Oryctolagus cuniculus: one gene and its partner. The protein of the gene in region 1 interacts with the protein of each later gene in a pairwise test. Links are inferred from orthologs where the notes say so. Each region holds a gene or a part of one and is shown in the gene's direction. Other genes may lie near its edges. The genes, in order: FGFR1 and GRB14.

Region 1 (3,802 bases):
TCCCTGGGTGTCTGAGATACCTGATTTATTTATTTATTTTATTTTTTTATTTTTTTGCACCAATCCCAAAAGTTTGAGAAAGAGCCCTGCTCTTCACACTGCATGTAGGCCCTCAGCCCAGAGGTGCTCAATGCTTGTAGGGAGCGGCACTTGTCCAGCCTGCATGCCAGGTCCTCTGGCTGGGGAGAAGCCACCTTTCTAGACAAGTGAACACGACCTGCTCTAAGTCAGGCCTGCCTCAGGCAGCCTCAGTGGGGCCATGGCAGTCCCCCTGCATCCTCTCTGGCTGCTGTCCCCGGCGGGAGGTCTGTGTCGAGCCAGGAAGGAAGAAGCCTGCAGCTGTGCAGGGTGGTGGTGACCGGAGCTGGGTGTGCTGCATCTCCGCGTGTCCCGCATGTGGGTCTGGGTGCCATCTGCTCTCCTGTCTGACTCCGCCCCCTTCTGTCCTCACCCCCCTCCACTTGAGGCACAGAAGTGTTCTCTGTTTTCATCGTCGTCCTGTCTTCGTCCCGTCTGTCTGTGCACCCCATCATTTGTCTTTTGTTTCTCGACGTTGGGGAAAGGAGTAAAACAGAAACACTTCTGTCATCAGCTCTGTCGTCTGCCGGTCAGGCCTTGAGGTCCTCAAGGGCCTGGGCCTGGGCCTCGTCCTGTGCCTCTCTCTGGGTTGGGGTGGGGATAACTCCCGCCACCTCTGTGGCTGGCTGCAGGGTTTCTGAGGGGCGGATCAGGAGGGGAGACAGCGGTGACGGGAAGAGGGGCCCCTCGCGAGGGTGGGGCTGGGATGAGAGTTCTCTCCCGGGTACAGACAGGTGGGCTGAACTGGCTTGGCTTTTGGGGGGTGGCAGTGAGTTCCAGATGGAAAGAGGGCAGGCAGAGAATAAAACAAGGCACCTGCCGCTCCCTTTTCCTTTGTGAGTGTTTGTTAGGAGGTAAAGCCCGTGAGTAGAACTCTTGTGAGAACTACACAGAAAAAACAATTCAGACACGTTGGGAAGTGGAATCCCTTTGCAAGTGGCTTGGCTAGGTGTAAATATTTACATGTCTGGTCTAGTGGAGGTGACTGACACAGGTGTCAGGACACAGGCCGGGTGCCGCCGCCCACACTCAGGTGCTGGGGCAGACACAAGTGACCAAGGCCTCGGCCCTGCCTCTGGGACCTCATCAGAAACGGTCTGTCCCCATGGGATAAGTGTCCGAGGCTCTGCAGTGACACTGAGAAAGGCATCCAGAAGTGACTTCTCAGCTGCCCCTCTCGGGATACCTGAGAGGGGATACCTGGTATCCAACCATCCCCCCAGCCGCAGCTGAGTGAGGAGGCTCCCAAATGAGAATAGATGTCTAGTGCTTAGCACTTAGGGACTTTGCATCCGGTTAAGGACGCCTCAGGGATCCCAGGATGCCTGACCCTCTCGGTGCCAGAACCCCACCCCTAGCTTACATCTTCTGAACACCCCTAAATGAGGCAGAGGAGATGGGTGTTGTTTTTCTAATGCAGTGGGGAAACCCCTTGTCAGCCTGGGGCTCCCCTGCACCTGCTAACACCCTGTTCACACCGACTCAGCCCTGGAAGAGAGACCAGCCGTGATGACATCGCCCCTGTACCTGGAGATCATCATCTATTGCACGGGGGCCTTCCTCATCTCCTGCATGGTGGGCTCCGTCATCATCTACAAGATGAAGAGTGGCACCAAGAAGAGCGACTTCCACAGCCAGATGGCCGTGCACAAGCTGGCCAAGAGCATCCCCCTGCGCAGACAGGTAACAGAAAGTAGATGGGGGATTTGCACGCTTGCGCTTTCTCTTGCTGTGCCTCCGGGGACATCCGCAGGGTCCCCCGATGCCTCAGCCTCTCCACCGTCCCTCCTCTCCCCCTTTAGGCTTTGCTTTCTGACTTCTGGGCCAGGCGTGTTAGAAGAAGGGCCTAAACCCAGTGTTCCAGAGTCAGTTTCACACTGGTCTAGCCTAGAAAATTCCCTGTACCCTCCATGCCCCTGTTGAAACGACCCTGTTCACATGCATGGGGAGAGAGTCCTGTGTGGTCTGTATGTGTAGCTGATGCCGTGTATCTGAGCACCTCCCAGGGCCAGCTGAAGGGACAGAGAAGCAGGGTAGAGAGAAGAGGACCCAAGTCAGTTCCCAGGTCTGAGTGGCGGGCACTCAGAACCCTGTGCAAACTCTGGAACTAACTTTGGGCGTTAGAAATCCATCATCCAAGGCAGGGTCTTTGCCAGGAATTGGGGCACGAATGAGAGTCATTACTGCAGTGTTGCGTTGTGGCAGGTCATGCTGGGAGAGGTGTGTGTGGTCTGCTATTTCCAAGGTGAGTGAAGCCCAACACAGCTGATCAGTGGCAGAAATAAGTCAGGATGAGAACACGGGTCTCCCGGCCTCCCGCAGTCTTTCTGCGGCTCCACGTTGGGGAAGGAACCTCAGACGCAAGAGACTCAGGCTTCTGCGGCTGCATCCCATCCCCTTGCTAGAAGGTAACCCCACTCTTCCCTATAGGTGTCGGCTGACTCCAGTGCATCCATGAATTCAGGGGTTCTTCTGGTTCGGCCCTCACGGCTCTCCTCCAGCGGGACCCCCATGTTAGCTGGGGTCTCTGAATATGAGCTGCCCGAAGACCCTCGCTGGGAGCTGCCTCGAGACAGGTGAGGACACCCCTTTGTTGTGGCTCTTAGGGTGGAGATTGTGGGTGCCAGGACCTTCCGGGGAGTCAAGGCATGTGCAGTGCCTCCAGACAGAATCCTGTCCATTTCTTGCTTGCCTTTGGGTATCCTCTGTGTGTTTGGCATTTACCAACCCTGACTCTTGCCAATTTCTCTCCCTCCTCCCTGCCAAAGACTGGTCTTGGGCAAACCCCTGGGAGAGGGCTGCTTCGGGCAGGTGGTGTTGGCGGAGGCCATTGGGCTGGACAAGGACAAACCCAACCGTGTGACCAAAGTGGCCGTGAAGATGTTGAAGTGTGAGTGATGCTTGTGTCTCTGCGTAAAACAGCCCCTTCCCGTCTTCCGAGCAGACTGTGTGCAGCCGCCCGCCGAATCGGACCCCTCCTCTGGTGCTTTCCCTGCCCCTGCCTGCTTTGCTGCCTCTTGAGCTTACCTGGGAGTGGGAGGGGCGCTCTGCACTGCGAGAGCAGTGTCTCCTCCCTCTGTTCCTTGCACACCAGCCTAGGCTGTAGTCAGGTGTGTGTTTCAGCTTGCTCACCGTTGCCCCTGCCTCACTCACAACAGTACTCCCATATGAGAGCAGGGAAATGAAGTGTTTGGTGGAGGAGCAGAGCGGGAGGGAGCCTCTGCACAAAGGGGTCCCTCGGGCACACAGTCTGCTGGTCCCCTTGGCTTTTATCCTGCCCTGCTCCCTCCCAGAGCAAAGGAGTCTCATGCCGTTTTCTGGTTTATGTGTAAAGCGGATGCAACAGAGAAAGATCTTTCCGATCTGATCTCAGAAATGGAGATGATGAAGATGATTGGGAAGCACAAGAACATCATCAACCTGCTGGGGGCCTGCACGCAGGACGGTAGGCACAGAGCCGGGCTGGCCCTCCCATCACCTGCAGCAGACCGACCAGGCTGGCGGGAGGGGGCTGCACTCAGAGGGGAGGGAGGGAGGCCTGTGTAGCAGTGACTGCAGAGTATCTCCTCGGGTCTGGGCTGCTGTCCATTGCTGCTCCAGGACACAGACACTGGAGTCCCACACATGATGTGTGGGCAGGAACAGGTGAGCCAGCTGTGGCTTCAGCAAGGGCTGTCACCCCCCAACCCCCAGTTTTGCTCAGGAACTTTGGATTACGTTGGAA
Region 2 (4,529 bases), on another chromosome or scaffold:
TTTTCTTTCTTCATGGGATATCCCCTGTTCCTTACCTGCTGGGAGTTACACCCTTCCTAGATACAGCCAGTGGTGGGTGTCCCGGTGGAGAAGGGGACGCAGAGATGAGGGTGTGGGTTGCCATCTCTCTCTCTTTTTAAAAAAGATGCAGTTTTTTAGAAGTCAGAGTTACAAAGAGAGGGGTAGAGAGAAAGCTCATCCATATGCCGGCTCACTCCTCAAATAGCCACTAGGGCTGGGGCCGGTGGAAGCCAGCGGTTTCTTCCAGGTCTCAGGTCTCCGGTGCAGAGGCCCAAGCTTCCGCCACTTCCCCAGGAGCATTAGCAGGGAGCTGGATGGAGAGCAGGGCGGCCCGGACTCAAGCCAGAGCCCATATGAGATGCGGGCACTGCAGGGGGTTACATAAGCCCACATGGCAGCACGGGTTGCCATCTCTTCAGGATGGCGGCGTTTGCTTTTCCCTGGACAGAGGCTGCGGAGGTTAAGACAAACTGGTGAAACAGATGCTAGGGACAGACGTTACCTAATTTGGTGAAAGAACAGAGTGTGTAAAACATTCGCAAACGCTCAGCAGTGCGTGGAGATATGGTCAGGTGTGGGAAGAGCAGGAACAGCTATCGCCCAGAACTTCGGAGGCGGCTGCACGTGAGGTCATTACCATTCCAAGCGGTCCAGGTCTTAGAGAAGGTGCTTCTGGGTTGCAATCCTGACTGCATCAGTTACTAGTACTCTGTGTGAAGCCCCCATTTCCTGATGCGCAAAATAAGGTACGTATTTAATTTCGGGAGCTGCTGTGAGCCTGGGATGGGAAAAGGCAGAGTAGGAACTCATGAAATGAAAACTGCTCTCATGAAAAGAAAATAATCTTTCCAGTTCCAGACCCCTCCTGGTTTACTCATGACTTCCTGAGGAGTCTCAAAATCTCAGTAGTTGTCTATGAGCGTACTCCCTGCTCTCTCTCCCTCCTCTCCCCACGCCGCGCCCCAATCCTTGGCTTCAGAGTGCATGAAGAGGCACCTGGAGACGGACCAGGGCAAACCTGGCCCCGTGGACCCCTGGCCTCCTGGCCCGGTAGCGCCTGTCATGGCGGCCCAGAGACAGCTTAGGTGATCTCAGATCGCAGAGCTGGAAGAATGGAAGAGTCTGAGAGTCAGCGCTGCCCGAACCCCTGCCTCGCCGGCGCGCTCCGCTCCGCTCCGCCTGGCAAGCCGTGCGGGGAGCACGGGCTCCGCTTGGAGCCTGCCTCGAGCAGCGCTGGGCCCGCCCTGGCCCGGGCTTAGCCTGGCACTAGGGCGCCCACCTGGGGAGGCGGCGGTCGGGGCCACCCGAGCAGCGGCGAGCTGAGGTCCTGGGGCGGGCTGCCGAGGACCGACGACACCTCCCCCGAGCGCGCCGGGCCCCTCCGCGGGCCGGGCCGCCGCGCGCGCGCCCTCCCCGCCCCCTCCGCGCCTCGCCCCGCCGCCCGCGGCCCCCACCCACCGGCCGCTCCTCCCCTCTCCCCACCCTCCTCCTCCGCCCCCTCCCCTCCCCCGCCGCCTCGCAGACTGCTCAGCCGAGCTGCTGAGCCGCCGGGGCCGGAGCGCAGGCGGCCAGGCCACCGCACCTGCAGGGCGCTCGGGCCGCCGAGCCGGCATCCCGCCTCCCGCCTCCCGACACCCCGCAGCCTAGGCGCCCGGGCTCCCATGCCGCCTGAGCCCCCGGGCCGGCAACCATGACCACTTCCCTGCAAGATGGGCAGAGCGCCGCGGACAGGGCGGCTGCCCGGGACTCGCCGCTGGCCGCCCAGGTGTGCGGCGCTGCCCAGGGAAGGGACGACGCCCACGACCCGGCGCGGGCCCCCTGGCTGCACGCGCGAGCTCTGGTGCCGGCTCCGGACGGGACCCGCGGCTGTGCTGCAGACAGGTAGGCAGCCCTCGGAGGGCGCGGGGGAGTGTCCTGGCTTGGCAGCGGGCGAGGGGGTGAGGAGGCGGTCCTAGGAGGTGAGCCATGTGCCCAGAGCTGGGCCAAGTTAGAGAAAGTCTCCGAAGACAATTCTCTTGGAGCTGGCTCCTGCCGGATCAACAGGACATTGCGATCTCACAGCTTATAAATAGCATCACCGTTTCATTGAGAGCTCGTGGTCTCTCTCGCCTTTGCCCATCCGTGTGATCTGCAGGGAGTTGTGTGGAGCGGGGCGGGGGGCGGGGAGCAGCGTGGTGGGAAGAGTGGACTCAAGGTTCATTACCCTCTGCCCCTTCTGCGTGACCCTGCACTCTGCCCCTTCTGCGTGACCCTGCATTTAAAAAAAATCTTATTATTAAAAAAAATCGTAGCATAAATGAGTTCACTTCCCCCCTAGAGTCTTAGAAAGACCCCGGCGAGGAAGCAAAGCATGGATTGACATTTGAGCAGTCTTGCCGCTCAGCAGAAAAGAATAGAGGCATTGAAAGGTTTTCCCATCTCCATAGCATTTAGCACTAAGTGCCTTCAGAGTTGCACGTACTTCAGGGAAGAAAACCCGCTAGAACAATACCAAAGTCTGTAGTCCTTTGTATTCATACATTGAAATGGTACTTTTCCCCCCCAGATTTTCAAAGTGCTCCAACTTCTGTGAAGTTAACATTACTCTCCAGTGGACTAGAGTACATTTATACCAGCAAGTTCTGTTAACTTACCTCCTCAAAAACACTGCCTCGCTGTTGAGTGTCTCTGAGCACTTGAAAAATCAACAGACTGTGTGTGGGCAACATTGTGAATGGAATTTGAAGTGAGATGAACCAAAGCTATAATTAATAGATCATAACTTCCAGAAGTGATTAGTAAAATATCATAGGGATGAATTCACTCGGTGTAACTTAGGGACTTTGTCCATTGCACGGATTCGCAGCAGTGTCTACCTCCTCAGGATTTTCTTTGCATTAATAATTACACAATCCACATTTCTGCCTCAGGAAAATTACAGGAGTGCTGAACATGGAGTTTCCATGCTTGGTGACTTATTCGAAGTCCCGCACATTTCCCTAAAAAAGATAGGAATACTATAAGAGATTTATTTTTGTCAGTTAACATATTTTATTTTTACCCACAGAAAGGGCAGCACGGACCTCTTCTGTTTACTTTATGTAATATTAGCGTCATCGCTGAGTGCTGTGTGTTGGCCTTCATGCACTTTTTAATGCTGACAGCGTTTGTCTTTTACATTCCGTTCTATGTAAATTACATCCTATGTTCTCTTGCTGTAGGAGAAAAAAGAAAGATCTTGATGTTCTGGAAACGCCATCTATTCCAAACCCCTTTCCTGAGCTCTGCTGTTCTCCATTTACATCTGTGTTGTCAGCAGGCCTCTTTCCCAAAGCAAATTCAAGGAAAAAACAGGTATGCATTGCTAAACTTTTTAACGATTTTAGGTGTTCTAAATCCATAAGGTCTTTGATGAATTCCAGTAAGTTACAGTACTAACAAAGGATTAGCCTGGGCTAATCTTAATCATTTCACTGACTGGCACAGTCCTCTGGTGTTGCTTTTAATTTTAGGGCCTCAGTTTTCCCAGCTGTATAACAGGAATGTTAAAGCTTACCTCTTGGGATGGGTTAAAAGAGAACGTGAGTATATGCAAAGTGCAGCGTCTGGGAGTTTTTATCATTTGCTGAATAGGTGAATAGGGAGAGCATTAAGTGACGATAGAGTATCAATTTTAAGTCAAGGCTTGGAAGGGAGTGGGGAAGTGGTGATGGGGTAAGAAAAGGCTTGGCTCATTTCTCTTAGCCTGTGTAATCATTTGTATTTTCAAAGTCAATCTCATTTGCTCAGGCAAGTGTTACTGTGAATCTGTAGCACAGGCAATTGGAGTTTAGGACTGCATATGTCTTCTTCATTTCAGTGAATGCCTCAGTCTGGAGGCTTGTGCACAGAAGGCAGATGACCTGTAAGTAATGGTCAGAAGGTGGACTTTGTTTTTCTGATGTTTTGGACTTACTTCAGCAATTAAGATTTTAAGAACCAAGCAACCAAAAAGAGATAAATCATGATGATGCATTCATGAACAATAAAAATAAGGTTTTCTAGCATAATTCATCTCATCATACACTTTCTCCCAGTTTTGAACTAGCAAAATAAAGAGAAATTTTGCTACAAAAATTCTCCTTGTTTTTATTGGAGTAGAAGTGACAGATGTAGGCAACCAGGTACCCGTGAAGAGGGGTCTAATGAGGAGAAGACAGTTCGTCATTTTCCCCACCTACTGTTCTCTTTCCCTTTTCCACATCTCTGTTACCTTTGATGGCTTCAACAATGTGTGTTTATATTTTTACAAATGGAAGAAATAACCTAGGAAGTAGATGATTTCTTCCTAATTCACAGTAATAGAAACTGGAGGATTTGTGCTTGTAGGGAAGTCTGGTATATATACTTTTTTTGGGAGGTGAAATCTAAGTGGTGCATGTGTTTTGCATAAGGATTGGAGGGAGTTACTCTTCAAGTGCATGGGAATATTCTGAGTTGGCATCTTTGATAGGGGAGGCCAACCTGTAAGGGATGCGCCTATACATTTG

What was found.
Region 2: the proteins of FGFR1 (region 1) and GRB14 interact in a two-hybrid assay, tested with the Homo sapiens proteins (2 studies listed by BioGRID, with this or other methods). The link is inferred for Oryctolagus cuniculus from reciprocal best matches to the Homo sapiens genes FGFR1 and GRB14.

Annotation. Positions count from the first base shown.
Region 1 is NC_091433.1:88,156,990-88,160,791, reverse strand, and holds part of FGFR1 (fibroblast growth factor receptor 1), read left to right. Parts: intron 1-1,564; coding exon 1,565-1,768; intron 1,769-2,508; coding exon of another isoform or gene 2,509-2,509; coding exon 2,510-2,654; intron 2,655-2,846; coding exon 2,847-2,968; intron 2,969-3,412; coding exon 3,413-3,523; intron 3,524-3,802. UniProt on the Homo sapiens protein: Tyrosine-protein kinase that acts as a cell-surface receptor for fibroblast growth factors and plays an essential role in the regulation of embryonic development, cell proliferation, differentiation and migration.
Region 2 is NC_091434.1:76,882,848-76,887,376, forward strand, and holds the start of GRB14 (growth factor receptor-bound protein 14), read left to right. Parts: upstream 1-1,518; 5' UTR 1,519-1,711; coding exon 1,712-1,902; intron 1,903-3,221; coding exon 3,222-3,354; intron 3,355-4,529. UniProt on the Homo sapiens protein: Adapter protein which modulates coupling of cell surface receptor kinases with specific signaling pathways. Binds to, and suppresses signals from, the activated insulin receptor (INSR). Potent inhibitor of insulin-stimulated MAPK3 phosphorylation.